Drosophila melanogaster: one gene and its partner. The protein of the gene in region 2 purifies or fractionates together with the protein of the main gene of each other region. This does not show direct contact. Each region holds a gene or a part of one and is shown on either strand. Other genes may lie near its edges.

Region 1 (15,458 bases), on a different chromosome or scaffold from region 2:
GTGACCAACAACTACAATCTCGAACCAAGTGCTACCAGTGTCCAGCTACTGACCGCTTTGCAGCAGGTGTCCAGCGGCAGTGCGGCTCCAGCGCAGCCTTCGAAATCCGAGAGCGAGCCCATTGCCTTTGCCAGCGTAAATCCCTATGCCCAGATGTACCCGCAGCTCTTCCAGCAGCAGCAGATGCTACTCCAGCAGCAACAGACACAGGCCAAAGTGTCGCCCACCATGGGTGGCTCTCCGGGCGGAGGCAGCACGCCCCAGGTTGTTGCGGACACCTGTTACATTCGGATGAGTGGCATGTGCCAAAACACGTCGTACAGCGATATTCGCAAGTACTTCCAGGGCATGTACATTCCGCACAATGGCATCAAGATCATGATGGTGAATGGCAGTCGCACCGGAGTGGCCTACGTGGAGTTCTCTCGTGTGTCCAGTGCCCAAAAGGCAGTGCAGCGGAATAACACAATGTTTCGAGATCGCCTGATTCAGATTGTTCCCGTGGGCGACGATGAGTTTGAGATGGCGGAGGAACGTGCTAGTCGCCAGGGGCAGGACGGCAGCAGGAGTCATGGCAATCATAATGGTGGTGACAGAGGTGAACGAGGCGGTGGCGCACCTGTTCCCGTTCCCAGACCCGTTACCAATGTCCTCTATATAGAGGATTTGCCACAGACCACCACTGAGCAAGATATCATGAAGATGTTCTCCGCCAGCTATACCGTTGTGGACATCCTACTGAGCCCCAGTCCAAAAAATCGACGAGAATCCGTTGCCTTTGTCCTTTTTGCCAGGGAAGCTGAAGCCGACTCTGCTCTGCAGGATACCAGCAAGCACTATATAGGGTTCCGCCAGCTGAGAGTGAGATCCAGCAGCGAGGAGGACATGCAGAATGCCAAGGAGAAGCAACGAAGAGCCAATGAGCAGCTGCTAAAGGAGGAAGCCGATCAGCGGGAAGAGCTCCTAAAAGATCAGCAAAGGCGACAGAAGCAGCAGCAGCAGGAGAATGAGAATATTCAGGCCAACAGATTCGCCGCTGATCCAAGGAGACGCCAGGCGGAAGATCAGCAGCAGCAGCAACAGATGAATATGGGACCCAATTTTAATTCCAACATGAGTCCCAACATGATGGCTCCCTTTGTCAATGGTGGCAACATGCCCTTCCACATGCCGCCGCTTCAGCAGAACGGTGTCAATAACTTTCCCTTCAATATGAATAACAACTATAACTATAACGGGAATTCCAATGGGAACGGACCCAACTATCCAAATGATAATGGAGGCGCTGGTGTCATCCAGCGACCCCGCCAAGAGGATGTCTTCGTTCGTGTCCACAACTGCGAGTACGCCACGAGAGCCAATGATTTGGGTGAACTGTTTTCCCTCGAGCACCTACGAATCGAGCATATCGAACAGCTTTTCAATGAACGCAACCAGAGCTCCGGCGAGTTTATTGTGGAGTTCAGTGATCCTGCCAGTTGCAAACTGGCCATCAGGGAGTTCCACAATAGACGCTTTCGAGGAAGGGGACTGCGAGTGGTGGCCATCACGCCCCAGGAAATCGCTGATAGGATGAAAAAGCCCTTCATGGATTATCTGCCGGGTGGAAATGGTCCCAGGAAAGCGGAAACTAACAATGCGAATGACGGTGCAGGTGGAAATAAAGCCAGTGCGCAGCCGTCTCGTCGTCGAGGACCCAGCCGCTTTGATAAGCCGCAGGAACAGCCATCGCAACAGCAGGATCGACCGCTATCCCTGGAAAGGGAGGACAACAGCAGCACTAGCTCGAACGCACCCGTTAAACAGCACTTCAATCCCTTCGCTCGACCAGATCCTCCTCTGAGCAGCAGCTCCCTCTCGCCCAGCAATCAGGGTCAAGTCAAGCCAACCTCTCCGGTGCCCGTTCCCACATCCATAATCCCGGACAAGTTCAATCGGCCGGGATGCGTAGTGGCTATGCGCAATGTCCCTTTCAAGGCGGAGCTAAAGGACATCATGCGCTTCTTTAGCGACTACAAGCTTAGCCCGGATGACATTATAAGGCGTTTCAATGATGAAGGCAAACCCACCGGCGACACTCGCGTCGCTTTCGAGTCCCCTTCGGAGGCAAGGTCTGCCTTCGAATCGCGCCGCAAGAAGCAGATATTTAACCGCACTGTCTACCTGGATATCATCTAGGCAATGAGCTTAGAGCCCAAATAATTGTATAATGTAAATAGATAATGTTAAGCCAGACACCAAAAATATTATATATATAAGCAGCATGTACATAAACTTGTTTAAATAAATCGAATAAACCGTGTAAGAAATGCGTTTAAGCATACAAAACCCAGCGAGCGACTGGGAAACTATCATTAACATCAACGATGAAGTATCATTATATTTTGTTTCTGTGCATCCTTTCTTTAGTCTTTTTAAGACTTCACGTAATTTAAGTTGAAGATTTATACCATTTTTTTGACATTACAAATTGTGAATAAATAAATAAAACTTGTTTCATTTATATGAATAAAATATATTACATAGACACAAAAATACTTCCTATAACATGAATATAAAAAGTCTTAATCCAATCTTAGGCATAGTTTTGCAGTAATATCACTTGGGACTTTTTCAGCGACTCCCGGCACAAGGGGCACTCATCCCGCTCCTCCAGCCACTCGAGCAGGCAGCTCCAGCAAAAGATGTGGCCGCATGGAGTCAAACTGCTGTCAGAACGTGGCTCCAGGCAAAGGATGCACTGTGGGGTGTTTGGATCTACGTCCTTTGTACTCGAAGATCTTTGCAGGAAATTCTTTCCAGCCTGCTTTATTGATTCTAGCTGCTGGCGCTTGTGCTCTCTCCAGGCATCCCATCCACTAATGGCCAAGGAAACGCTGACCTGCAGGAAAGTGATTACGCCCAGTATCTTGTAGCCGTACAGCGAGAATTCCGGCTGCAGCCAGTGACGGATTAGTACGTAGTTGATGCCCGTGGTGCGCTTGGACAGCTGGTACTTGCTGGCGTCCAAGTAGAATAGAGACTTGTGCAGGGCCTTTACGTAGCTGGGAGATTGCCTGAGCCTCTGAATAATCTTCTTTAGCTGCGGCTTGATCTCGGTTCGAATCTCGTCATTGTTGGCCACGTAGGTGTCAAGTTTTTGCATCAATCGTTGGAACAGGGAGTCGCCACCAAACTCCAGGACAATGGCAATCAGTTGTAACTAAAAGATGCGCGACGTTTACAAATGTTTTCTTTTCGAGTATTCTTTACTTACCAATCTGCTGGGAATCTGCTTATAGTTCCCGTCCACCTGTATTATCCCCGTGTACTCTTCGCCGAGGGTCTGAAGGTTATTGGCCGAGGCGAATCCGTGGTAACTGAGCTCCGCCAGAAGTCGGCACATCTGGTTGTACTTTATCCAGTTCCGTGGACCGGTGAGGCGCAAGACATCGGACAAGTCTTCGGCCAGCTCGTTGGTGTACCGTGCATCCTTCTGCACGGATCTCACGATCTCCGGCTGCCGGGCGCGGGCGTTCCGAAAGTCCATGTCGTTGGGGGTTACTGCAATGTTGATTCTAACATATCTTATTCAAAGGCCGATCAAAGTGCGGCTCAGATAACAAAATCAGCTGTTATACTTTTGCCTAATTGAGATGACACTTTCTAGGAACATCGGTAACGCAACTTGCAACAGCACATTTTACACAACACAGCTCCGCTCACTTCAAACGTATTATACGAAGTATTAAATTAAAAAAAGTATTTCCTTTAATATTATTTAAATATCCAATGTGACATTATAATTATATATAATTACCTTGTGCGATAGTTTTCTCTGACGAATCACGACCATACCAAAGCACACCATCAGCTCTCTGCGAGGCACTTTCCAGCACTTACAGTCAGCCATTTTCTATCGGGCATCACGGATGCTTTTTTTCCCTGACCAAAGGATATTTGGTTTTTCCATCAAAATTTGTTGATTTCGAGACGTCAAATCGAAACCCCGCGATAGCAGAGACCGTGTGTCGGCAGTGTGTGTGCAATTGGCAAGTGGTAATTGTCGGAAAGATTCGGTTTTGGACCCGCAAAGAGCAGCTAGCGCAGACGTCACACCTTTTTAGGCACCAATACGATTACAGCTACTAATACTACGACCCACAGACTAATAGAACAACAAAACAAGTGCTAGAAAAAGAGAAGAAGAATCGAGCCGCAAGTCCAAGTACTTAAAAAAGTACTTTCGCCTCGAATTTAACTGCACTTACTCGCAAAAGCCGCATTTGATTTTTTGGAAATATTACGCAAGTACTATTTCTAGTCGTACCCGTTGGATAATCATGGCTCAGTAAACATGAATCCGCAACGAGAATACTTTGCTCAGCGCACTCCGTGTGGAGACCTAGGCAAGACGCAATTAGCCGCCCACTGGCAGCTGTCCAGCACCCATACTATTACTATTCCCCAAGACAAGTGCACCTCCAGTATCCACAACGATGGACAGCAACAACAGCAGCAACAGCAAGAAGCAGCCTCAATCCTCTCATCATGGCAAGTCCTCGTCTGCTGAATCGCAAAGGAAGTCCAGTGGTGGGTGCTCCATTCTCCTGATATTTTTATATCCCGAAAAGGTTTTAATATTGGTGCAACCTTCTCCTCCGCAGAGTTACATACCAACAGCAACAAGCAGCGACACAGCCGTCGAAGGAATCAGGTTCCCACACCGCGCAACGATCAGCAACAACAGCCACAGCAGCCAGCAAAGCTACGTCCCAATGTGGACAAGCGTCCGAAGGCTCGCGGGTTTGGAGGCGGTTACGATTTCCCTTCACCCCGTGGCCAGGACGGGGCTTCAGGCAGCTCCCGACTAGCCTACTCCGCCACCGGCTACTCACGTAGCGGTGACTTTGACCATGAACTGAACTCTGTGTATACACAGGGCAGCAAGAAGCAGAATCTGAACCATCTGCTTAACTTCCACTGCGTGCCCAGGGAACTGGAGCGAGGACATCACCATCAGGCCCAACAGCACCACGGCCTGAGTGGCCGAAAGCAGCGCTACAACAAGGAGCAGTTCCTGCAGGCCAACTTTCAGTTCGTCATTAGATCGGGTGCAAAGGCTCAGGTTAATGGCTCGCCGGATGCACTCATCGATTGGAGCTACATCGAGCAGATCAACATACAGACCACTGAGGAGTTGCAGTGCCCCATCTGCCTGTACCCGCCTGTGGCTGCCAAGCTCACCAGATGCGGACACGCCTACTGTTGGCCCTGCTTGCTGCACTACCTCTCGCTGAGCGACAAGACCTGGCGCAAGTGTCCTATCTGCTATGACGCCATCCACGCGGGAGATCTGAAGAGCTGCACCATCGAACAGCTGAGGGATTTGCAAGTGGGCGAGAAGATTACCTTCCAGTTGATGCGGCGTCGCAAGGGCTCCATGTACATTGAAAATCATGTTGCAGGATTGGGCGAAACAATTGAACGTTTCCCCTTTGTGTCCGCTGGTGAAGAGGCTAAACGCTACTCAAAGTTTCTAATAGCCAAGCGGATGGATGTGGCCGCCATCATCGAGAGGGAGCGTAACGAACTGCTAGCCGAATCGGATGTCTCCTGTCCCGAGGATGTGTTCATCCAGCAAGCGCTGGTGATGCTTCAGGAGCGTGTTGAGAAGTTGGGTGTCGAGAAACCTGATCCGAAAGAGGATGAAGAGGAGACAGCACCTGTACTTTGCCTAGAAACCGAGACCAAGATTGATATTGAGAAGTCAGACGATGCCTCCATCTCGTCGGGAGAAGCATCCAGCAGCCTTAGCTACTCGAGCAACCATAATAAATACTATTATTTCTACCAGTCAAACGACGGACAGAATATTTACTTGCATCCCTTGAACGTGAAGATGCTTCAGGCTTGCTACGGCACCTTGGACTTGGGTCCGCTACTCATCGAAGCCCAAATCGTGCAGATGGAACAGCACTCTATGGATGAGGAGCATCGACGCAAGTTCACTTGTCTTGGCCACTTGCCTTTGACTTGTCAGTTTTCGGTTGTGGAAGTCGAATTGCAGCCGCCAGTGGTCACTGGAGGAATACTCAAGCTCTTTAAGGGTAAGTCCACTAGGTCCATGTACAGCATTATGCTTATATGTATTCCTTCCGCAGAGGACATTCTTCATCGTAAGAAGGAACGACAGCGTCGGGATCGCGAGGAGCGCAAGCGAGAGCAGCACATCAACGAGATAAATGACCGCCAGATGGGCAAACTTATTGCCAGTGCAGCTAACCTTGACCTAAGCTCCTCCCATGAGTTTCCCACTGTGAGCTAGCAATGCCTGCCATTAGTGTCAATTATTAATATGTGATATTTTATCTAAAGTGCGGCTTCGAGGAGGCTTTGCCCGCTCCCAGTGGCTCTGTGCCCATGAACATCAGCAACCAGGACCCCGGTTCCCGATACTCCAGTGTCACTCTGGGAAGTCCCAAGCAGGAGATGTGGCCCACTATTGGAAGTAATTCTCCTGGAGGTGGTGGCGCGCCATTGGATGTTCAAGTGGGCGCCTGGGGCCGTTCAGCTCCACCGCCGCCACGGGCTGTAATGGTCCCAAGAACCAGCGATGAGGACTTTGAGCAGCGATCTGTGGGCCACTGGGGTCTGGGAGAACTTTTAGTTGGAGCCTTGGACCAGAAAAAGCAAAAGGTAGGAGCAGCAAAATCCAATGGAGCAGCTCCAGCGGAATCGAAGAAGCAAAAGAAGGCCAAGGGCAAGAAGATGGTTCCCCTGTTCGCCACGGGCATGAACAGAGCTCCATGAAGAGCTAGATGATGATCGCTTATGAAGTTACAAGATTTATTGTATTTTTGTTTTTATGCGAATATTTCAACGTTATTTTAAATAACAAATGCGATTGTTCTATCATTGAAGAGGATTTGGAAAATCATTCAGCTAATCTATAATTTAACCCAACTTATATTCACAATACACATAAGATAACCAATAAAGGCAGCAAGTAAAATATCAAATAAACGCCTTTTTACTTTCTTGCCAAAAGAAATATTCATAATTTAACTGAAATTTATCGGAATGTATTTTAAGCGCATACTTTTTCTGGTAGCTCTTTTAAATATGTATAAAAGTGCCTACTGCGCTGTTCCATTAAACTTCAAACATATTTATTTATGTTTTAATTGATAGGAAGAGGCCAAATTCGTCTTTAGTCGCTGCGTCGCTCGTCTACGACATCCTTATGCTCTGGTTGCTCCGAGTAATTGAGGTTTGCTGAGGCATTCACCTTATCAGGGCGCTTTTGTTTTCGACTAAGGGATACGCAACTACCAGACCCGTAGTCTGGTGGCAGCTCCATGTACTCATCCTCAGAGTCTAAGTCGTCTGTTGCGTCTGGATCGTCACCGTTTACGGAGCCATTCGGACTGCCTGGTGGGCTGAGTGCCTGAATGATTCGGCCCTTGGACTCGTTCCAGAAGGTGTTAAGCCGCTCCCGGCCGAACAGGAGCAGGAAGGCATCGATGAACTCGCGCGACTTCTCCTCCCACTTGGTGATGATGTCAACCTTGACTTTGGTCAGCTCCCGCTTGCCTCGTGTCTTCAGCTCGTCCATCTTGTTCTGCAGACGGAATTTCTTCTCGGAGAGAAAGGAGACGTTGAGCTCCTTGGCTGAGTAGCCTCTGGCCAGGTTCCTGCGCACATATACATCGTAGTCCTTCACGATTCGGGCCACAATGTCCGACGTGGACACGCCCTCAGTGCGTTCCGTGGCCACAAACATTCCCTTCGCTTTGAGTGGAGCATATATGTCGTTGACTCCGCCAGCTCCATAGGGTATGTCATCGTGGGCCACAAAGTCGATTTTGTGCTCCTCGATAAACTCCTCATTTAGCGTCCACGGAGCATTCGGAACGATCTTGTGATGGATCGAAAAGTGTATAGAAACATTTCATTGGTTCAGTTTAACACACTTACCTCATCCACGTAGCGGCAGTGGCGCACCGCCTCGTAGCGCTCGAATCCATTCATAACCGTGCGTCCCTTCATCCTGAGGGTCAGCTCATCATTGCACACGCCGACGATGAGATAGACGTTGGGAAACACATTCTTGGCCTGCATGAGTTGGCGGGCATGGCCTTGGTGGAACAGATCATATATGCCATCTGCATAGACCCGCACCCTGCGCGTCGTCTTCCCAGCTCTGGCCATATGATAGGTGATCCTCTGTGTGTAGTCGCATCTCTCGAGCTCCAGCATGGCCTTGTCATCGTACGAGAAAGGAGCAGGCTGGCAAATGCTCTGGAGGCGTTTTGGGGTAGAGAGATTAGTATGTGGCAACTCCTGTTCCTCTAAGGAGTAGCCTTACAAAATCCTCAAAGTCCATAAAGAGCGGTAGCATCTTAAACTCCATCGGCGATGTCGGTGTGGCAGGAGCCGTCGACACTGGAGATTCGTCGTCCTCTTTCGGCATTCTGTCCATTGCTTATAAAAATATATGTACGAGTATACACAACTAAGTACAGCACTAGTGGTCCGCTCAAGGGGATTTCATCCGGACGACTGATTACATAAATTGAGACGGAACCGGCATAACCCTCTAGGTCTACTCTGTCGAGGATTGAGTCCGAGACTTTGAGCGAGAGATGTCCCCAACTGCGCACTAGCTGCGATCAGAATAAATTGGCGGCAACTGGTGGCGAATCAATACAATTGAGTCCAGCGGCTGGCGAGGCACACGACTTGGAGGCGGCTCTAGCAGTCTCAGGCCCAAGTCTCTGGCTCGGATTCATCGCTCATCTTCAATTGCCGCAAATTGCGGCGCAAGCAAATAGGAAGCAACGGGTCGGTCGCCTGACTTGGCACGGGTCCGCCGATTCGATCAGGCGATGGGTGCGCATCTATATATAAACCGCAGCGCCATTAAACAAATCAGTGAACCGCTTCAAGCCGGTGAATGGGCAGCTAATTGCGAGGGAATGGGTGTCCAATCAAGGCAAACGGTTTCATCATCATCGGTGGCGCGCGCTCAAGAATTCCAGCAGTGCCATGGATGGCTGCTGAATCGGATGCGCAATTGCTGGATAAACGTATGAGATAGCAAACTGATTCACAAGCCACTCGCTTTACTTCTATTTCCTTTCGATTCAATGTTTATTTTTCAAAAAATATTTAACAAAGCATTTGCAATAGTTCCGCTATTGCCAACTGTTACTAATTACTTGTTTTTGTTTTTTGCATTTTCCGAATGTATTTCGTAATTTGTTTGTTTGGATTTCTCTATATTGGTTGGTGTTCTGGTTGCGGTGTTGTTAACTTAGTTTAATGTTATGCGAAATAATTTAATATAAATATTTCTAGATATTTTCGGCACCTGAATCTGCCGCCACTGCCGATTGATTTCGTGCACAGTCCGTCGAGTGCCTAATACAAAAATGAGTCTTTTCCGCGTTGGTGGTTGCTTGTCCCACACACACACACACACAGCTAAATTAGCTACAGGATTCCCTCGATTCTCACAGATGGAGATGGGCAGGTGGAGTTGAGGCAGGAGGAGAACGAGTGCCAACTAAAACATTGGGATTACAATACCACTTAGGGCTAGAGTAAATATAAGTGTGTGTTCGTGGAGCCTGCGTGGCGATCCTGGGGCATCTATAGTGTGCCGTCGAACTAGTTGCAAGCAAGTCCATTTACAATAGCATTAAAGACATTAAGAGAAGAAGAAAAGATCGGGCTGCCCCGCAATAGAATCAATTGCTTCGACGCTCGTACTCCGCATCCGCATCCGCATCCTCGTCCCCATCCGCTTCCAAGTCGGGTGATTGGCTCTGCAGACTCTGGTAACTGCGGCGGGCCAGCGAGGAGCGCTTCTGCTTCGGCCTCTGTTTGCCGTTCAGCGATCCACTGCTGCCGCTGCCGCTGCCCCCGCTCAACTTCTCGGCCATCTCCAAGTACTCGTCAATAGTTTCGCTGTAGTCCTCGCCGCCCTCCGTGTCATCACCGTTCACTGATCCCGACGGGCTGCCCGGCGGACTGAGTGCCTGCAGCAGCTTGCCCTTCGACTCGTTCCACAAATGATTCAGGTTCTCACGTCCGAACAGCAGCAGGAAGGTGTCGATGAATTCGCGCGACTTCTCCTCCCACTTGGTGATGATGTCCACCTTCACCTTGCTCAGCTCGCGCTTGCCGCGCGACTTCAGCTCGTCCATCTTGTTCTGCAGCCGGAACTTCTTCTCGGACAGGAACGACACATTGAGTTCCTTGGCCGAATAGCCTCTGGCCAGATTACGACGCACATACAGATCGTAATCCTTGACGATCCGGGCTACGATGTCCGAGGTGGACACACCCTCAGTGCGCTCCGTGGCCACAAACATGCCGCGCGCCTTGAGAGGAGCATAGATGTCGTCCATGCCATCGGTTACATACGGAATGTCGTCGTGGGCCACAAAGTCGATTTTGTTGTCGGCGATGAATTCATCGGACAGAGTCCATGGCGCATTCTGGACGATCTGCAAGACAGAGTAAGATGCTATAGACTGAAAGATCTCTAATCAGTGCCGGGCAGAACATACCTCGTCCACATAGCGGCAGTGACGCACTCCCTCGTATCGCTCGAAGCCGTTCATCACGGTGCGTCCCTTCATGCGGTGGGTGAGCTCGTCGTTGCACACGCCCACAATTAAGTACACGTTGGGAAAGATGTTCTTGGCCTGCATTAGTTGGCGGGCGTGGCCCTGGTGGAAAAGATCGTAGATGCCATCGGCGTAGACCCTCACCCTGCGGGTCGTCTGTCCGGAGCGGGCCATCTGGTAGGTGATCCTTTGAGTGTAGTCACATCTATCCCGCTCCAGCATGGCCTCCTCGTCGTGAGAGTAGGGCGCCGGCTTGCAAATTGTCTGCAGGAAGAAAAGTTCCCGATTAGTTGGGCTATTCAACTGGACGATTGTGTCCTTGGTCTACACATTCTTTCTCGATCTTATCACACATCGTCGGAAATATACGACTCACGACTCGAACATCAATTTCAAACGATTTCAGCTACTACGATTTAGACTAACTTTGCATCCTAACTCTTGACTACTTACCGCAAAATCGGAGGCCCCGCTGAAGAATTGCTGCGAGGTGGATGCGGGCACCACCCGGTGATTCGGCGACGCCTGCTGCTGCGGGACGTACTTCCGCTTGACGCCGTTGAGGTAATCCGACTGTGGGGGCAGCAGGTCCTCGGCGGCTGCCGCTTCGCCGCCATCGTCGGCGTCGCTTTGTGAGATGGTGCGTGTGCTGTCCCGCAGTGTGGTGGCCGAGGTGGTGGGCTCGCTGGCTCCCTCGCCGACCACCAAGACACTCTCCAGCTGGCCGGGCCTGCTCTTGGACTTGCCGGGGCTGTTTGTGCGCTGATCCTGAACTTCCGATACCTTTGTGGCGCTGCTGGAGGCGGTGGACGAGGGCATGGCAATGGCTATCTCGTAGGTCCGCTTCCGGGTGGTCAGTGTGGAGCCGGGGGACGCGCTGCTGCTGGGCGTGGCCGGTGGCGATGTGCTATTAATTGTGCTTTTGGCGAGTATCGATGAGGTGGCCATCGCAGCGAATGTTTGGGAGCGGCAGTTTTAACGGCTTCGCGACGCGGTGACGGAGGAACAGAGATTCAATTGACTTTCAGCTGGAAGAGATCGAGAAACAGATTGGTTACCATCAATGCTCTACATTACTTTCCCATATTTTGTGTGTTACGTTTCGTTTACATCACATTTAGTCTTATGAAATTATAAAGTTTTTCTTTGAAACCGCATTTGGTTAGCTTTGCATTCTGTTTATATGTAGTTGCAAGCATCATTTATCAAATTTCTTCATTCGCTGGATTTTATTCAAATTTCCCTTTGCCAATTTTTCCACCACTCCAACTTGTAACTTTTAGCCAAAGGGTTAATAAGTTTTCTCAAAAAGGAATAACAATTTTACTTCAATGAACCAACACAAGTTGTATTCTTGTTTTGTTTAATCGACACATATGCACTTGTTTACCAAGCAATTTATAAATAAAATCCAATAAAGCAGTAAACAATTCGAAATAAACAAAGTTATTTTTGAACTACAATTTAATGCATTGGTGCATAAGCAAAAATATATTACACATTCGCGCAGCTAATGGAAAGATACTTTCTTGTGAAACCATTTTTATGTAATCAGATATTCCCTTTTCATTAACCCAAATATTTATGACTCGGGTGGCAGTAGTTCTGACTGTTTTGCGCTGACGACACGTGACACCTGACCCCGCGCCCCCAGCCACGCCCCTTTTCTTCGAAGTTGAGCCACGGCCAAATCGATTTCAGTTTTAATTGCCAAATGGCCGATTCAATTCGCCACGCGCATCGCACCAGAGAAATTCCGCAGAAAAAAAAAACGCAACTGAAACAGCGGGTAAACAACAACACGGCTCGGTGTCGGTAATAATAGACATACAGAGACACGTAGTACTCTCGATAGGAGCGGGATGATGAGCAAGTGAAGCGCTGGCGGGGAAGGCAGCAGGGTGGGCGGCCAACCCAGCGCAGAACTAGTTCCGAGTATGCAGCGCCACTTTACGTAAACAAGTGCAGACGGAACACGTGAGCCGGACACGATGACCCATTCCCCCCGAGAGCTGGGCGCCAATCCTCTCGTGCTCCATGGCACACCCAGCAAAAGCAGCACGCAGGAAGTTACAGTTGGGATTAGTTAAGTCATATGTACATATTATTTCAGCTACCGGGAATTTTCAATGACGAATTTCCCGAAGGTCGTTCTAAATCAGTTTTTGTGCCAAAAAAAAAAAACGATGCTGCGTGCGAAATAATTAAACAAGATCGTCATATGTGCACATATGTACATAATTAGCATTGCGTATTTTGGGGCATTTGCTTGGAACTACATAATTGTTCATAATAAATATACAATACGTCATAGAAAAAGTAGAAATTCCTCATTTTTTAAATGCTTCTTTCGATAATATTGTAAATAGGCCCACTGTGCGGTCAGCTGTCTCGTGCGTGGCTAACAATAATTTTAGGTAGACGATTTCCCATGTTTATTCATCGTGGCACACATGCCTATTTACATATGTATCTACGTGTGTGGATAGCGTCTGCATATTTCTTGGCATTGGGAATACGTCAGAGATTTCTACACCTTATCTGGAGGAGTCCCTCCTGGCGACTCCAAAGGGGAGCAGAGTGCTTGATTTTGTGTTCAAGATTTGCCTTGGACGTGAGTCACTTGGAAGCCGCTTACAGTTCAAGTTCAAGCCATAAAAATAAAATCCGAGAGATTTTCTGAATAATTTCGGATCTGATGTAAGCGCTGTTTGAAATTTAACGAATTTATTGTACCTTCCCCGTGGACATGCTAATTCTGTTGCCAAGTCGAATTTCGGGCACCTTCGGCAATCTTCAGCTGTCGTACGTCATAAGTCAGAGTCGTACGATCTACAGTCACTGCTCGCTATAAGAAACCTTTCAGTTCTTCAAATGTATGAAAATATGAATAATGACAAAAGTTATGTTGTTTCCTTGATTGCTTAATCTAATAATTACTAGGATTTCCTTTGTTTTCTGAAAACATAGCAGTAATGACTCACGATTTCTATAGTTTCTTTTTTTTTCAAATCACTGTGCCACTAGTTTAGATTAAAAATATAAGTGATTTAACAATTTGCGATAATAAATGAATTCGTATCACGATGATTTTTGGAAACAAATATCTTAAGTAATAGCAAAGCAAGTCAAACATATCTAATCTCACTGGCGAGTGCCTACTGTAATTACTTTGGCTTTTAAACTGTGGTGACGAAGTGCCACCTCCATTGAAGCGAATCCAAACGTAAACAAAGCCAGGGGAGATTTCCATTTGAAGTGGACAAGTGTGGAACCCGTAAAATCGATTCCCAAATTGCCGGGCACTAAAAGCAGGTGAGAGATAAGATCCCCTGAACTACCTGCTGCTAACTTATCTCGGAGAAGAACAATATTTCTGCGCCTGACGGCCGCTTCCGCTGCACTCGAATCGCGAATCGCGGGTATCTGGAAACACGATAAATGCGTTTGGCGGAAACGAGCCATGTTTCACTGTTTCCAGCGATAAGACAAATTCGCCTTTAATTATGGTTAGCACTCGACAAACACCCTGCATGTCTGACAATCACACCGCCTGATCTTTGCCAGCCTGGCAAAACGTATGGCGGGCCAAGTTCGCTATCAGCACGGACTTATTTCATTATAATACACTTCTACGGACTACACATCGTACGTATTTTCTTCAGACAGAGGTCAGGCTAACCCTGCGATCGGGGAATGTGGGAAACTACTAGCAAGATCGTAATTAAATCACGTGATTAGCTGCTACTACTTCAATCATATACAATAAATGAATACATAGTTGAAGCCATGTTCTTAAATCTATAATATAGTTTTGAAGAAGCTGGCCATAAAGTGCTGCTTAATAGTATTTTCTAGTAAATAAAATCCTTGGAACCACTTCCATTATCTCAAAAGCACTCAACAAACATAGAGAATCTTTGCAAATATTTACACAAATGGAAAATTTACACTAAGAACAAAAGCAAGTCGTTCTAAAAATGTAACCGTAATTGACCCTTAATGGTTGATATAATTATTTAGTTACGTTTTTCGTGTCACTACGAAAACCGGATGTGTTCAGATAACTCGGTACAACAAATTAAATTAGATCATGCGGGAAGCGTGAGGAGATAAACACATTTTTTAATACAATTAACTATTGTTTCAAACCTCATAGTTTGGGGCTAACATTTCCTAACAGGCCGAAGAACTCTGCCGAATCTCACGGCAAAGTAAGAGATGATTTTGGAGTTTGCCTATTGGATGTTCGTTCGCTTTTGGCCAACAGCAAAAGGTCGAAAGTACAGTTCTGTGTGTGAGCCCAAGCCCACTGAGTATCAAAGACTACCTCGGGCTTTATTCAAATCTGCGTGCGTACGAGTGCTTTCGCCATTGATAAGCTACGATCGGAGTACAATTATAGACTGATCGTGGGGTGTACTCCATGGTGCACACAAGCAATTTGCATTGATAACCTTGGGGCGTGGGCTTATCAATAATGGACTTAACGGAATAAGCCGAAAAACCCAGTTGACGTCAACTGTGATTTTCGGATGCTACGTGTGAGAACGCTCTGGGAACTATCGGTCTGGGAGTAGGAACTGTAGTTAACACACTGGCACGTTTTTCTGGGGCACCCTACTTAGCATTTACAGCGCTTTAGGGCTCCAAGGCGAGTGATAAGATTGTCTAGAAAAATTGCACAATGCCCTATAACTATTGTTGTTCATATATAAATATGTATATGTCCGTCTCTTTTTCTCAGTCGCCTACGCACCGAACACGAAGTTCATTGAGAAGCCGAAACAGCTGACTCTGATAGTGCGTGTGATCTCTCCAAACACGCGCGTGCACTCT
Region 2 (15,946 bases):
CAAGCAACGGACGAAGTAACAACGTTATATGATTTTGCAGGAGCTGTTGGCCACCATCACCAAGTTCCGGGACGAGGAGCAGGAGCACCACGACACGGGCATTGATCACGGTGCCGAGCAAGCGCCCTTTTACCAGGCCATGACCGAGGTAATCAAGTTTGGCTGCAAGACGGCTATTGCCATCTCGAAGAAGATCTAGGCTGAAACAGTTGGGCCCCCTGTATATATCAAAATCAAATTATCTGTTCCGCTAAGCTAACCGTGTTAAGCATTAAAGATAGAGCTAAATGTCCATAATAGTCGCGTCTACTTACCACCTTCGCACTGCGTGCCCTGGTAGCCCTCCGGACAGGTGCAGACGGACGGCGCCGTGCAGTTACCGCCATTGAGACACTGCGGAAAACAGAAGGCCGTCTCGCAGTATTGGCCCGTGTAGCCCACGTTGCACTTGCAGATGTGGTGCTCGTTGCAGTACCCGTTCTTGCCGCACTTCAAGCTGCATTCTGGATCGGGAGCTTAAGTTTTTTTAGTTTAGTTCAATCGTTCGCATGTCACGAGGCATAAACACTCATTTTAACACTCATTTGGACTCACACTTAACGGAGCACATCGGAAGCACAAAGAGGGGCAGGTTCGAGTAGACAGTGGATACATAGATCATAGATAGATAGATACAAAAGCGGTTGGCGTGGGAGCAAAGGGTAGATCGTATCGAATTATATATTTTTTGCGGGCTATCAATCAATAATTTACTATCGAAAAATTTGGAACAAATTTGAAGAATTTTCGAATTCAAGAATGAATGCAATTAAATTTACAATTTCATATAACATATCTCATAAAGGCTATATAGTTCCTTGTGACTTGAATATGTGATAATGTCATTAGGTAGTTACTTTCGCCAGATTCTCTTTGATAGCCCGAGTAATTTAGTGCTGTGGAAAGAGTGAAGAGCTGGGTGCAGGGGACTCGTGAAAAGCGACTACGTGGGGTAATGGAATCGGATTGAATCGAATCGAATGGAATGGAATCGTGTGGGCGGGGATGGCATGCTGGGATGGCGCATGGATGGCTGATGGGCGGAGTGTGCACAACATGTATGTATAATGCTAATTTACAATTACTATCGACTAGATAAAAGCATTGCTTGATATTTCATATACACTACCTTGCAAAGTTGTTAGTGAAGTAGGGTTGGAAGCGTCTATATCATACACACCTCTGTGGGCGCATTCCTTTTTGAAGTTGAGGCGAATGGGTGTGCCCGAGAGCGGCTTGTTGTGGCGCGTCTGGATCTTGAGGCCGACGTTGAAGGACGCGGTGCCGGAGCTGTTGCCGGTGCAGGGCAGGAATATGCTAAAATCTGGCTTGGGATGAGGCTTGGTTGCCGCACTCTGACAATCTTCGCCGCTGCCGCAGCAGCCCGCTCTACTTACTTTTCTGCTCCTGCGGAATGCGTCCGCTCTTGCGAATGGACAGCGTTGGCGCCTTCAAGATACTTTCATCCATGGTCTGCAGGCGGTCAAAGTCGTAGAAGTATTTGCGGCGCCCCGACTTCCATGTGAAGTTAACGTAGTTGACCTCCGATGGGATTACCAGGAAGTTGTACAGCGTCGTGTCCCTCAGATCATTGGTCACCCGGCTGTTGTGAATGGCGTACAGGCGCTCCGAGTAGCCCTGTGGGAAGTAGAGCGCTGTGGAGGAGGAGAAATGGTTTAATGTCCAGGTACGTCCAGGTACAATTTACCAACTTTTTTTAAGGACATATGCATATTTTTTTGAAGACAAGCATATAGGCATTAGCGACCACCAACCTGTAAGCATTTTGAGCTGCTGCTCATTGATCCACAACGAGATGCCGCTCTCCTCGTTGCGATTGTGCCGGCTTCCACCGCCTCCTCCGTTTCCGCCGCCGCCGCCGCTGCCTCCTCCTCCACCTCCCTGCTGTTTCTTTCGTTGACCCCGACGCGGCTGGTGTCCATGGCCAACGAAGCTGGCGTCCTGATCTGCGAAGTTGTCCAGGCCATCGCTGGTGTTGCCGTGGCCCTCCTCTGAGCTGGACGAGTCCGCTCTTCTGTTATTATTATTGTTATTCCGATTGTGGTGCTGCTGGCGACACTCGAGCTGGCCGATGCAGAGGAGCGTGTGCACGATCAGCACCAGATATAACCACTTGACCAGGCAGCCGATGCCCTGATGTGTCATAGTTTCCCCAGCTGGCAAAGCAAACCGAAACGGAGATTGAAATTAAAAGTAAACGTTGCCAGTGAGTGCATTATGGCCTGGCCAGACCACCCCCACCTCGCAACCAATCCCCGCCAAATATTGGATATCTGATTGCTTATTGCCGATCGCGGATTGCCAATCCCACACCCATGCAGTTTGTTTATCTTTTGCCATATTTGCAGACCCGCGATCTATTTGCGATTCGGTTTCGCTGCTCTGGACGAGGGAATTATCTATCCGCTGTAGGGGATTGGGCATACTCTGTGTGCTAGCACTTTAGATTTCCAGGAATAGTGCATATACATATGTATATGTACATACATATATATGTGATTGAATCGCTTAGGTTTTTTCACTGTCAGACTACATATTTTAACTCAAGAGTCACAAGTGAGTTATAAAACATAACCGAAGAGCGAAGTTGCCAACCAGCAACTGAAGTGTCCCCATTCCGGTGCATGGACTGCCCTCGGCGAAACCCCCCCAACCCTCCTCCCCAAAACCTCATTCAGCTTGGCCCGATTGAAGCGCTAAACGGCAGTCTCTCGAAATGATGCAGAAGTGAAGGAAGAGCAGGTACAAAGTCGTTAGCACTTTGCCCGGTGTGAAGTTACCCAAGTCAACGAGGGCCAACTCCAGCCAGCCAGCCAGCCAGCCTTGTTACACGGCAGACCGGACAGCCAGAAGCCAGACGTTTAACACGGCCAACAAGTGAACGGACAAAAGAGACCCAGTGATGACACTTTGACCTTTTTTCTTTGGCCATTTAAAATACAAATTCTTATTCAGATATCTTATCACATGAGTAAAAAATTCGCATCATCTAAAAGCCTAGCTTAAAAGTGGCTTTATCTGAGAGCAGGTTGGCTGGCTTTCACATTAAGATTTCCAATTTCCAATTCCAAGCTCTATAGGGCTCTGAAGAAATCACTGAGGAAACTCACAGCACCACTGACTGGACAAGCGATCGATCGAGCATTGTCCGTCCATGTCCCGTCCATCACGTATGAATGGGTTGATTCGAGATCCGGGGACAGGGCAAACGACGATGATGGGCAAGAAAACAAGTTAAGCTGTCTTAATAAGATCAAACATGGCGATTATGAGGAATTACTTGGAGATAATGACATCGTCCAGCGACTCAAAGGGCTCGGACTCTCGAAGATTGTGCTCTGGGATCATCGGGCAGCAAGACCGAAATCCAACTCCAAACTTATCTGCAAAACGGCCCCTGGGAAATGAATTCGTTAAGTGAACTAATTGCTCTTGTGGATGCCCAGCGTGCATGCATGAATATATCCGATGTGTATATCCAGATAGTAATTGAATCAGTGGTTAAGAAATCGTAGGCGGAAGTAATTCATGGAGCTGGCATATTACAACGCAATATAAATATATGTATGTAGAACATAAACGGGAACGTCATATGGCCATCACAGATTGGAATTGAAATTGGATTCGAAATCGGGATCGTGTGGGGATCTCGGGATCGGGACCGGGCCAGACCTCGATTTCCTATAAATACGATGTTCACGCTTTGTTTTGAAATTATTTTTATTTCGTGCTAATTAATGGTCGGTCGGCCGATAAGGAAGCACATGATGGCGATAGCCGGCACCGGCGCATAGATAATCCCACTCATGGTCAATCTAAGTCCGAATCAGAATTGGAATTTCCAGCTAAGGCGCATTCGCAGCGCAGGCTGAGGAAAGCTTAGTCAGCGTGCAATTAATAGGGAGATATTCATAAAGGTGTAAAGTGTATATATATAAACATATATATCTATATAAGCATTAACTTAACCCCTTTTCACCATTACACTGAGCAGTTAGCAAGCACTCAACTACTGTTGGACTGAAGAATTCGCGTGTCTGTTACTTTCCCTTCGTTTGGTTGTGAGAGGATCAGGTGCAGTGCAGGGAAGTGGTTATCAAACACCGTATCAGGTCGATGGAATGAAGATGAAGATGGCCATGCATTGTTAGTGCTGTCGTCAACGATATAATTGCTTCAGCTGGAGGAAAAGGGACAGATTAACATTTTAGCGTGAAAGAAGAGAGATGAGGAGATGGAGGAGGTGGAGTGGCAGTAGCAATCAAAGTAGGAACGGCAGCAGCGCAACAACAACAATTTGTTAGCTCTTTACGATTATTGCCTTTCTCACACCTTATTACCAAGAAAATAAAGAAGCAGCATCCACAGGGGCAACAACAAATACTCGACGATGAGACGTGAAAATAAAAAATTAAAGAACCCAAACACACACACAAGGTACGACAAAAGGCAACACAACGAGAACAAGAAGCTGCCCCTTGGAGTGGCGGAGTGGACTCGACTGGACTGGAGTGGACTGGAGTCGGAGTGGAGTGGGATCGGATGGGATGGGATGGAACTGAGACTGGAAAAGGAAGTGGGGGCGGAGGAGAGGCACTGGAAATCGCACACTCACAGCCAGCCATTAATGGTGTACTGCAGGTGCAAGCGAGAGGCAAGTTGTTCATAAACAATCCCAACGTAAAAAATGACATACACCGAGAAAAGAAACCCTATCGATTCCAAATTACCCATGCAGTAGTTATCCAAAACAAATGTGTCGAAACCGAGATATTACACAATATTTTTTGGATATCTTAGGCTTATTTTACAGATATATAAGTACATACGAATTTGCTCAGATCAGATATCAGGATCAAGTGCTTTGAAAATATCCAAACATATCATATGTTTCTCCCTGTGTAGTATAGAGAGTACAAGCAATTTGTTGACTCAAAAAGACAAAGTCATCGGCTAAAAGGATTTCGAATGAAAGAGCAAGCCAGATGAGCAAGGATGAGCGAGTGAGGAGAGTTACATACTTTCCCGGCTACCGATTTAAATGATGTCCAGTAACAACAACAACAACAACAACAGCAACAAGTGGCACTTGCAGCTCTGTTTGCTTAATGAAACAACAGCGACACACTCACACTGGCACACACAAAGTAACACCAAGCGACTGTGTGAAACACCAACAAAAACACCTTGGGCAAATAATGCAGACAGGACGGCCACAGTCGACTTGCTAAATACCCATCAAGTGTTTGGACATTGGCCAATTGGAAGCATATTGTTTCTTGAGCATTCATGTGTGTTTTACTTTAAGAAAAAGTAAAAGTATCTGTAGGAACAAATGTATCTACAAGATATTAAAGTATCTATAAGATACAAAAGTATCTATAAGATACAAAAGTATATATAAGATACAAAAGTATCTGCTGGATTTTAGTGCATCAGCTCAAGGTTATTATGCCTAATTTCTAAGATTATTATTTTCTCCGTGTAGGTCATAGCTGTGACACCTGACCTAGAGGGTGTTGGCCTATTCGTGATGCTCTAGACTGGCGCAGCCCATTAATCCTGGTTGCTACTCCTACTGATGATAACGATCACCAATTGAGTGGCAAAAGGGAGTGGGAGGAGGAGGGGTAGAAGTAGAAGGAGGGGAGCCAGACAACAGGCGGATAAAAACGCCTGTCTCCAAGTGGACTCAAGTGCCGCAGGAGGTGGAGGTTGGAGTTGGAGTTGAAGTTCAGGTTGGTGGACGCGGAGCTGGAGAGGGGGCAGCGCAGCGAGACACGCAGGCTGCCGGACAACCGGCAGCATGGGCATCAGGACAAGCAGAAGAAGCAGCAAAGTCAGAAGCAGAAGCTACTTGAGAGCCACAGAATTCCGATTCCGATGAGGCGATCGTGTGTCTATATGTATGCATGCTGGAGAGTCAGGCATTCCACTCCACTCCACTCCACTGCAGTCCACTTCATTACCAGTTCGCAGATCGCCGCATCCAGCATACAGCTCCAAGGAGCTGGCAATCAAATGGCCAACGTTGGACAATGACTTTCACGCCTTTCGAGCGCGCCAAAACGAACATGTCAAGTACAGCCGACCAGCGGGCATCCCAGATACCCTACATACCTCGGTAGCTTTGGCACTTGGGTATTAGTTTTACGACAAATTTTCGAATAATCTTGGCACTATCAGTTTAGTTTCGAAATGGCCCAAACTATCATTCCGTTAGGGGAAAGTTAAGATCAAGAATCTGCCTGCGAAAAAGTTATATTCGCTAATTTAGCTTATCTGTTTTGGTTTTATATCTGTGCACTTCTCACATGCAAAATTCTGCCCGTTTTCAATTGCACTTAAGCCTACAATCTGGACATCAACTCTCGATCTTTCGATCAATCGAGCAAGGTGATTTGAATGGCCAGGTGAGATACCCATTGATATGGGTAAAAAATATGCAAGTGCTTTCGCACTTCAGCGGTTTAGTTAGTTCTTATCACAAAATTGCGCTAGTGCGAGATTAAAACTCTGCATGTCTAGCAATATTTTCACAACAATCACATAAACTTAGGATCACAGGTTAGTTTTCAATTTCAAATTTGCACACTTTACGTACTCGTTGGCTGTCGCCGGCTTGAAACAAAAAAAAACAAACAGTCGTTTCGTTGACAAAATACAAGGGTGTAAAAAACAAGTAAAGCTTGATTTGTTGGTCCTTTATGTTCCGATTTACATGAGCCTTAAACTTTGCACGTATTTCGTTGGCTCGAAAGCTCCTTTGGGGCTTGAACACAAACGCGAAAAGAGTCGGTTTCGACACTTGAAAAATCCCGCAAAGTTTCGTGGCGCGACCGTCGCACTGCAGCTCCTGAGCTCATCTGAACAAACCAACGAAAACCGGCGAACGTTTCGATCGCAGCGCAGTGATGCCCGCTCCCTCGATCGGATCGCTCTGCTAAAAAGAAAGGAAGAACACATGACGCTTAATTGCCAAATTCCCCTTAAATTCCCATCGAATATTAAGTATTAATGAAATGACTGTCATAAAATTAGGCGCGTATAGAACTGTACAATAAATTATGATTATTTTGGAAAATTGTTGATAGAAAGTACGTACCTTCCAATGCATTCGTTGAACTCTACAAACCAGTTGGCCATAGTTTATTTATACAAAAGTGCTTCTGAGTATTGGTATTTGGTGAGGACATAAAATCTAATGGCGCTTTGTATTGCACAGAAAAAAAAATAGCCAAATTGGCATCACTACTGCGGTTGCCTCTCTCGAACCTTCAAACAATTCTCTCAAACCGCTTCAAGCCGCAACCTCGCTCTTAAAAGCATTAAACAATTTAAATTTAGTAACTGCTTCTTTGTATCAAAGGCAGATTGTTAATTGTTTAAAAAAATGGGTTAAATAATTAATTTGATTTTTTTCCCAAAACATCGTCCGCTACAAATGATCGATTTTTGGCCAAAGTTCATACCCAGATTTTTGGCGATATAAATCCTATATATACAAAATTAAATAATTGTCATTACGCTCTGTTATAAATGCGAATGTGTCTGTTTACAAGTCGTACAAAACAGTGCCACTCTTTTCGGCTAAGTTATTGAAAAAGCCCATTCAAAATTATTAAATTTTTGAAATTTTTTGAAAAATATAATCAGTTTTCTTTTGGATAGCAACAAAGAGAGTTGAACAATATTAGAATGCCATGCCCCACTAAACTCAAAATTAAATTTCCCATTTAACTATATTTAAACATGGAAACGGTAATTTTATCGAAAATTTCGATGACTTACACCCTTATCGAAAATGCGAACATTTTTATTTCGAATTTAAATAGTCATATGTGTTTATTGGCCGTACAATAAGGAAAAATCCTATTTCGACAATTGTTTTTATTTCAATGACTTCTGGAAAGCAACGTAGCCCATGTTCCTTTTCCCCAATAAAAATGCGTTTTGCAGATAAAGGAAAAATACATTGATTGTGGTAGCTATTTTCATTCTTATGAATACACACATAACATTTAAATACAAATACATTTACAATTGAAAATTTTCTCTACATATACAAAATATTTAATTTAAAAATAGGTGAAAAAAAAAAACAAGAATAAATTGTTGTCCCTAGGTTCGTTAGCTTAGTAAACACAATTGATGCGCCAGCGGCAGCGGAAGCAGCAGCAAAAAGAAGATCGAATTCACTCAACACAAATTAAAAAAAAAAATTGACTTTTCTTTTTGTTTATTAAAATGGCTATGGTGATCGGGAATTAAATTCTTCAAGTAAGCAGCCTTTTTTTCTGTTTCCCATTTCTAAATAAGAAGACATTATTCTCAGACGAGACAGAGTATTGCTTAGTAAAAACAACTTGAGGTCGATTTCATTCAGTTTTAACTCTGCTTTCAGATTTCTTCTCATGATTAATATTTTTACACGCAATATCAATAAATTTATTCCTCACAGAATTGAAAGGAGAAGTCAAAGCGTTATTTAGAACTATTATTACATGCCCATAAATATTTTTAATGTTAGTCGTACATTTAAAAGCAAATTGAATTTAGTTAATCTCTTCCACAGGTTCCTCGCCTTTTTTGTTTTTTTTTTTTTTTTTGTATTTTTTGTATTTTGTTTTGTTTTGTAACTTTAAAAGTTTCTTCAATTAATTGAGTCGCAAAATGAATTTTTGATTGATTTCATTGATTGATTGATTTGATCGATAGATACCGCCTTCTGTTTTCTGTTTCGTGCACTCTGAAATCTCTGATTTTGATTTTGAGTTCAATTTCAATTTGAATAACTTCTAACACACATACACACACACGGGTATTTAATATTGGTTGTTTGGAGAGAGAATTGCATATAACGCGCTTTGTGCTAGGGTTCGCTTGGTGTTCTGCTCGTGGATTGCATCGATTTATAGTCCGAGATATCGCTACATATATCGTCGAATATAGTTTGTCGGTTGGCCTCTACGTTCACGTAGCTTGCTTTCAAAATTCGTTGTGTTCTTGTGTAAAAAAGAGATCTCAAAACAAAAGCGAAAATTGCTGATTTCTTGATTGGTTGTCTCTGGTGGTAAGTAAGTTAGTTAGTTAGTTTGGTGTTCTAGTGCTGGCAAAAGTCCGGGAAAAAGTTTTTGGGACTCGCAGACAGGGATTCGGATTCGAATATTGGTGGGGAGTTAGCTGAGGTTAGGTCCATCGACCCAATGACTCATAGAGCTTAATAGTTAAACTACAGATCGGCTCGTTATTTGTACGCGGCTACATGTATCCGTATCCGTATCTGAATCGCTACATCTTAAGTAAGTATGTATATGTATTTCCGATTCGGCATCGGCTGGTAATTACAGCTAAATATCTTGTATAATTGTATATATATAGACAGAGAATAGCGAACATTATTGCTCAGACCCATTAGAATAGTTGTTGGCTGCTCCCGATGCTGATCCTCCTCCTAGACGTGGCAACCGTTTTGAACTGTTTAATTAATACGGTGTATATACTTTATCATATATAATATTGGTGTTTTGCTGTTGCTGCTTGAAGACTAATAGTTAACGGGGCGGCGTCCACGCGGCTTGATCTTCTCCGATATCTGCCACATCTCCTCCTCGCCCATAAAGTCCTTGAAGTTATCAAAGAAGCGTATAATGCGCTCGTTGCGTCGAAATGGATAGGCACTGCAGCAGAAAAAGAAAATTGCGTGAAGTGAAGTGAAAGAAGTGATTATAATTGAATGAAAATTGATAATTACCATTTCTTAAAACGTTTCATGTTGTCAATTATGTTGTACTGCTGCCAGCGCTTGGAGAAGTTTATGACGCCCTTGGACAAGTAGTCCTGGTTGCCCACATGCACAAACGTTAGATCCTGCAGAATTAGGCCGCTGGAACGAACGAATTGATAATTAGCTTTGGCTTTCGTGATTCTAACAAAAAAAGAAACATCAGATCAGATCCTTACATGTAGGGTATGCAGGGCGGATTAGTTTCGGCCAGCGCCTGTCGATAGGCGCGAAAACTGGAGCTGGAATCGATGAGGGCGCAGAATGATCGCACCTCCTCGGTGATGCCTTTTTGCCACTCCAATCTGCAGGACATGGTATATCAACATATCAATGGTATATCAATAGCTTCAGTGGGCCAGTAGAACCTACCTTCTTATGGGACCCGAATCGAGGGCCGACAACAACGCCAGATACGAGTTGTAGTTGTTCATCTTGCGTAGATGCTTCATGATTTTGATAAACTTGTTCACATGCTTCTCCCGCTCCTTGGCATCCTGCAGGCGCAGGATTTTGGAGCGCGCCCAGTAGGACATCTTGTTGAAGTGCTCGGTGAACTTGTTTAGGTTGGGCGACTTCTCCTCGCACTGATCTTTGGCAAATAGTAATACTTCGGGTATCTCGATCTTCGTGAACAGCTCCGCATCCAGCAGCGTCATCTGTTCGGCAATCTCCAGCGACTTGAGGTCGAGCAGACTAGGCTGGTTTCCACCACCAGCTGTACCACTGCATCCACCACTGCCGGCGATTCCTGCTCCGCCGACACTACCGGCTCCGCCCAACTCCCCAACAAAGCCGTACACCTTGGGCTCCTTGTACAGCGTCACCTTCTCCACGAACTTGTTGCGCAGCAACTTGGCCAAGTACAATTGCCCAGAGCAAACCAACTGATAGACGAACTCCACCAGCAGGCTCAACAGCTGGCTGGTTAGATCCGTCGACCTGCATGGTGAACAATGAATGATAAGCGGGTATGTACCAACTTAGTTTATTCCAAAAATGGTGGTTAGGCAACTCACGTTAGATCGTTGACGACTCGGACCAGCAGCGCAAAGGTCTCCTTAGCGGCCTTCTGCTTGTTGTCCTGCACTTGACAGAAGAAGTATGTGTAGCGATGGGTCAGCTTCTCGATCACGTCGATCGGCTGGATGAAGGTGCGAAAGGTGGTGATGAAGGCCTCGCAGAATGCTGCACGAACGGAATGAAAATGGACAGAGACAACAGAGGAGTTGGGTAAATGACCATGCGAACGATATTTGGTATGTTTTTGCTGCTTCTGCTTGCGCTGCGAATGCCTACCATTGTCGGCGACCTTTTGGACACGGCTGGCGTGCACGATGAGGGCATCGATGTAGCCGCCCTTCACCTCGGGCCCGTCCTCCTCTCTCTTCTTGAGTATCAGGTACCGTGTGATGTTGACCTCTTCCAGCATGTTGATCAGCATATCCGCTCGCTCCGCCTCCTCATCCTCGTCGACGTTCGCTGGCTTAACCGACTCGTGCACAGCGACCAGTGGTCGGGACTCCGCCGTTGGCTCCTCCTGCTCCTCGAGCACTTGGGGCGTGGTTATTGGCTGGTTGTCGGCACTGCTCGCATCCTCGCTCATCTCCATTTCGGCGGCGGGCAACTGATGTGAGTGACAGTAGAAAGTCTGTCCATCATCGACGGCGCTCACATTCTCATTGCTGTCCAGCACGGGCGAACGGGGCTCCGGCATCGCATCCTCGCTGGCCACTGCATCGTTCAGCTCCTCGCATACGGTGGCCATCCGGCTGTCCGGCCTGCCCGTCGACCCATTCTCGCCCAGCGTCGGCTTCGGACTCGGCGGTGGCGTGGTCACAATGACGGGCTGCAGCGTGGGTGATGCTACCATGCTTGTCGCCTTGCGCTGCTTGTAGTTCTTTGGCGGCAGGGCAGGTGGCATCTCGAGCTCCGGCGACAGTTCCTTGCTCATGGGCATAATGCTGTAAAGGTAACAAAAAAATAAGGTTAGTACCGCCTAGTAACTACTAGCTACACACAACTTTACTCACTTCATGGTCTGGCTGTGCGAGATGTTGCGACTTATGTTGCAGGCGTGCATTGTGTGACGATGCTGCTCAATGGATCGCGTGGACGCCGAACAGATTTCCATGTACGCCAGAACTGTGTGCGGTAGGGTAGGGAAGATGAAATCGTTAGCAACTCTTACGCTTCAGTGGCGGGGGACAGAAACGAAAACTAAGCCGATCGATCGATCCTTGGACCCACATCCCGAAGGTCTTTGTCTGTTCACCAGATCTACAGGAATCGCAACATACAACACAGCACAACGAGTAACAGGACTGGATAGTAACACAGAGCAGGAGCTTTCGGGGCTTTGGACTGGAGATACTAGCTCTGGACGGACACAGCGGGTTAGGCGGAGCGAAATGGAAGCCACAGAACTGTTGCTCAGTCCATGTACTTGGGACTAGAAACGGAAACTGCAAACAGGTGGCTGTTCGGGCGTCAAGTCAATACGAATGCGGCGCAGCAGCAAAGTTATTAGCAGAGCAAGAAGCCAATAGCGAACTCGAAATGCTCTTTCCATCATGGTTATTAACTGGATAGCAAAGGGTATTCACCTTATGTAAAGTATTATAAAAACGAAAGAGGATAGTTTAATAGCTATCTTTGTGTTTACACACTAGATTCCCATTCGGTTGGACCATGGAAATCTCTGCTCAATGGTGAAATGAAGCCAAATTTAATCGAAAGGAGTGTCATTCAGTACTGAGGTAGGGAATAGAGCATTGCGAGCTTTCCAAGGGCGCCGTGCAAAAAAAGTTTGTTTCGTGGGTGATTTTGTTTTATTTCGTTTTTGTTTGGCATTTGGCAGCAAAAGTTGGCTTAGTGTTTTTGTTTCGTGTTGGTCCTCTAGTAACACACACAGACTTACCCGAAAAGGCCACACTTTGAAACACTAGATGTTGGTTGGAACGATAATTTAGATGGGTTAGACTCTTGCGTACAACAATTTGGCAAACTTTCTTGTCGCCAGCATTTCTAAGGGGTTTGCGATAATGCGGGTATGTGCTATAAATAAAATGGTCTTAAAGAAACAAACAAATCTCGAAAAACGGACTGCTCTGCCTGGCTACCCATATAAAAGGTGATGACTGATTGACTGATTGCCTGGTTGACTGATTGATTTGTTTAACTAACTAATTGGAGGTCTGATTGTTGTGGTGTTTCTGTTTCGTCTGATTTTTGTTTGGGTTTAACAATGGAGTAGCCTATCAAATGGATCTGATGGAATGGATACTGCTGCAACAGGAGGACAGTGATGCAGGAAACCCTGAAAATGCGCTCAACAAAACACCCATTGACTCACCGCTCGGCCTGGCCTGGGCGGTTCCGAAAATGACAAAAAAAAAAAAAATGATATAAAAGTAATTTACACAATATACACAACAACAAAAAACACACACACGGTACGAGATGCAGAACCAAACCAAATCGAAAAAAAAACGGAAAAAAATAAGAAAGAAAAATAGGAAGAATCGATGTAAATAAAGTGTGCATCGTGGGCAAACTGACTTACTGTGCTTCTTTTTTATTGGCAGCGGCGGTGGCTCCTGATCCAAGTGTCGCTGATCGAACGCACTGCAGCTGCCACTCCCCGCCAGCTGGAGGCGGGGTCCCTCGATCAGGCTGTGGTGCTTGGAGTGCCACTGCTGCAGTTGACCGGCGGACGCAGTATGCGGATGGTGATTGAGGTGATGGAGCGGCGACAGCTGACGCAGCTCGGCCACCTCCGACTGGCTGCTCCGATGGCTGGCCCAGCCGGAGGAGGACTGCACCTCGTCCAGCTCATCGCCAACTCCGGGCGAGTCGTGGCGGGTTAGGCTGCTCCGTTGGATGCTCTTTGGCGGCAAGGCGGGCGCCAGATCGGCCGGCGTCGTCGTCGTCTGCTGCTGCTGCTGCTGCTGCAGCTGCTCCACTTCGCTGCTGCCATAGCCGGTGGTTGTGCTGCTGCTGGTGGTCGTGGTGGTGCAGCTGCTACTGCTCGAGGATATATGACGCTGGCTGTGCGACACCAACTGGCTAATCTGCTGGTACTCGCTACTGCTGCCGACCGCCGTCGACTCACTGATGCTGAACGCAATCTCCGAATTGCTGCTGGACGACTTCGTGGAGGACTGGACACTGTAGTCCGTCGTCTGTGTGGAAGTGCGAAACTCACGCATCGACACGAAACCTGGCGATGGAAGGAGAGTGGTGTTAGAAATGGTCAAAAATGCAGTTCTCGTTGTGGGGAACGGGTAGCCAAAACCAAGCGGAAATTATATAATAAGCCGGAGGAAATCTGTGGAAAGGATCATTACGGAGGCGGGAGAATAAAGCCAACTATTTACAGCATCTAGGACAAACATGTATACAATACGCCTAACGAAAAATTTGGAAGGGAATTCATTGGGCGCGTGCAACAGATACAAAATAATAAGCGGGATTTTAAGTACGATGATAGATGTTCTGGGTACCCGATTCGTTTGAGTGGCGATTGCTGTTAGTTTCCCCGTCACCAGACGCTGCAGCAGCTACACCTTCGCCTGCTCCTCCAGTTCCACCAGCAACACCAGCTATACCACCACCAGTCGAAAGTGGTGTCTGCGTTTTGTCGTCGATTGCGGCGCCTGCGTAACCGGTGGATTCTGTACGGGATTCGTTGATTGGGGGGGCCACCACTCGAGTTGAGCTGAGTGAGGGGAGTGGCGAAGCCTTGCGGCAATACTCACTGTAGCTGACCATCTTGTCCATGTCTTCGTCCATCATCGCAGCCAACTTTGGAAATGACCTCAGATGCTGATGTTGCTGTTGCTGGTCCTCCTCCTCGCGTGAGTGATTCAACGCCGAGTCAAAGGAGCACTGACTATTCTCATCCGGTGACCGTGAACGCACGGATAGGCTGTGGAATGTGGGTGCACCAATTATTGTAGTGATTGCTAGTGATTGCTTTAATCTGCAAGCCACTTACCGATCCACGCCATAATTCAGCAGCGAGATATTGGAACTGCAGTCCAGGTCCGAGTTCAGACTAATATTATGGGACTGGGCGTAGGGCAGTGGACTGGCCTGATTGGAGGTGGATGTCGACGATGAGCAGCCTACGCCCACTGTACCAGCTGATGCGCTCGGCTGGCTGCGTCGCTTTGGTGGCAACGGCGGCGGATTACTGGCCCTATTGGGTAGCGGTGGCTTCGGCGGTGGACTCGTGTCGCGCAGGATACTTTCGGTGCTGTGGGAGCCGCGCATCGGGTTCACATTGTGCTGCTCCAGTATGTCGCGCTCCTTGGGCGTGAGCGCTATGTCCGGCAACGAAGTACGCTGGGCAGCTGATTCGGCGGCCGAAACGCGCATGACTCCAGTACCGGGAACACTCGCTCCCGGCGAGGCGGTGACCGCACCCATGATCTCCGCCGCCGCTCCAATGCCGCCCAAGCCAGATCCACTGTAGCGAAAGGCGCACTGATCCTGCTCCTTCAGCTTGCCCTGCGCCAGCGTAACGAGATTCTGTGCACGATCATGAAACATCATCGTATTTATTATAGCAATACACTGTGTACTAGGTTAGTGTTAATTGGACTTACCCGCACAGCATCCTCGAGAAGATCAATGACTTCCCGCACATTCTCGTTGCTCAGGGAGGCGCACTCGCCGCTGTCCTCGGAGAGCATCACCTCGTCGCAGAGCTTGATGAGCTTGCCCAGGCTCTGGTAAACCTGCAGCGTGGCGCTGCTCATGATGGCACTGTTTTCATTCAGGGTATAGGTTTGGATCACTGCGGCAGCAAAGGAAAGCAACTGGATTAATTACAAAACGAGGAAATTGGGGTAGTAGATACTCACCGGAGTACATGCTGGCTATGGTTTCCAGAATGACCGTTCCGTTGCCCGGCAACACCTCCAGCTTCTTCTTGAGTATAACATCCCGGAAGTGCTTCAGGGCATTCGAAATGTCCTTGACGTGCGTCTCCAGGGTTTGGGTGGACCGTAGCACCTCCTCGGTGGTGGGCGGTGCCTTTGTGCCGTGCTTGGTGCGCGGACTGTGCGGCGAGTGGGAGCGACCCAGTGTATTGTT

Evidence for each region.
Region 1: the proteins of shf (region 2) and Pcyt2 purify together in Drosophila melanogaster (affinity purification with mass spectrometry, with the first as the bait; one large-scale study listed by BioGRID). This does not show direct contact.

The regions. Positions count from the first base shown.
Region 1 is NT_037436.4:1,546,903-1,562,360, reverse strand, and holds Pcyt2 (phosphocholine cytidylyltransferase 2), read right to left. Parts: upstream 8,869-15,458; 5' UTR 8,465-8,868; coding exon 8,351-8,464; intron 8,284-8,350; coding exon 7,960-8,283; intron 7,901-7,959; coding exon 7,193-7,900; 3' UTR 7,046-7,192; downstream 1-7,045. Other genes in the region: CG7879 (uncharacterized protein), read left to right, coding at 1-2,178; Pex10 (peroxin 10), read right to left, coding at 2,576-3,202, 3,257-3,529; CG12099 (uncharacterized protein), read left to right, coding at 4,479-4,572, 4,647-6,089, 6,144-6,298, 6,358-6,792; Pcyt1 (phosphocholine cytidylyltransferase 1), read right to left, coding at 9,735-10,496, 10,560-10,883, 11,073-11,567.
Region 2 is NC_004354.4:6,772,747-6,788,692, forward strand, and holds the start of shf (shifted), read right to left. Parts: upstream 6,914-15,946; 5' UTR 6,665-6,913; intron 2,217-6,664; 5' UTR 2,206-2,216; coding exon 1,815-2,205; intron 1,695-1,814; coding exon 1,437-1,694; intron 1,364-1,436; coding exon 1,169-1,363; intron 516-1,168; coding exon 315-515; intron 294-314; exon of another isoform or gene 200-293; coding exon of another isoform or gene 41-199; intron 1-40. Other genes in the region: Coq7 (coenzyme Q7), read left to right, coding at 41-199; C3G guanyl-nucleotide exchange factor, read right to left, coding at 9,608-9,740, 9,815-9,946, 10,024-10,149, 10,217-10,786, 10,864-11,032, 11,144-11,808, 11,878-11,989, 13,410-14,066 and 5 more. UniProt on the Drosophila melanogaster protein: Required for normal accumulation and movement of lipid-modified hedgehog (hh) morphogen. May act by stabilizing the interaction between heparan sulfate proteoglycans (HSPGs) and hh, HSPGs being required for diffusion of hh morphogen.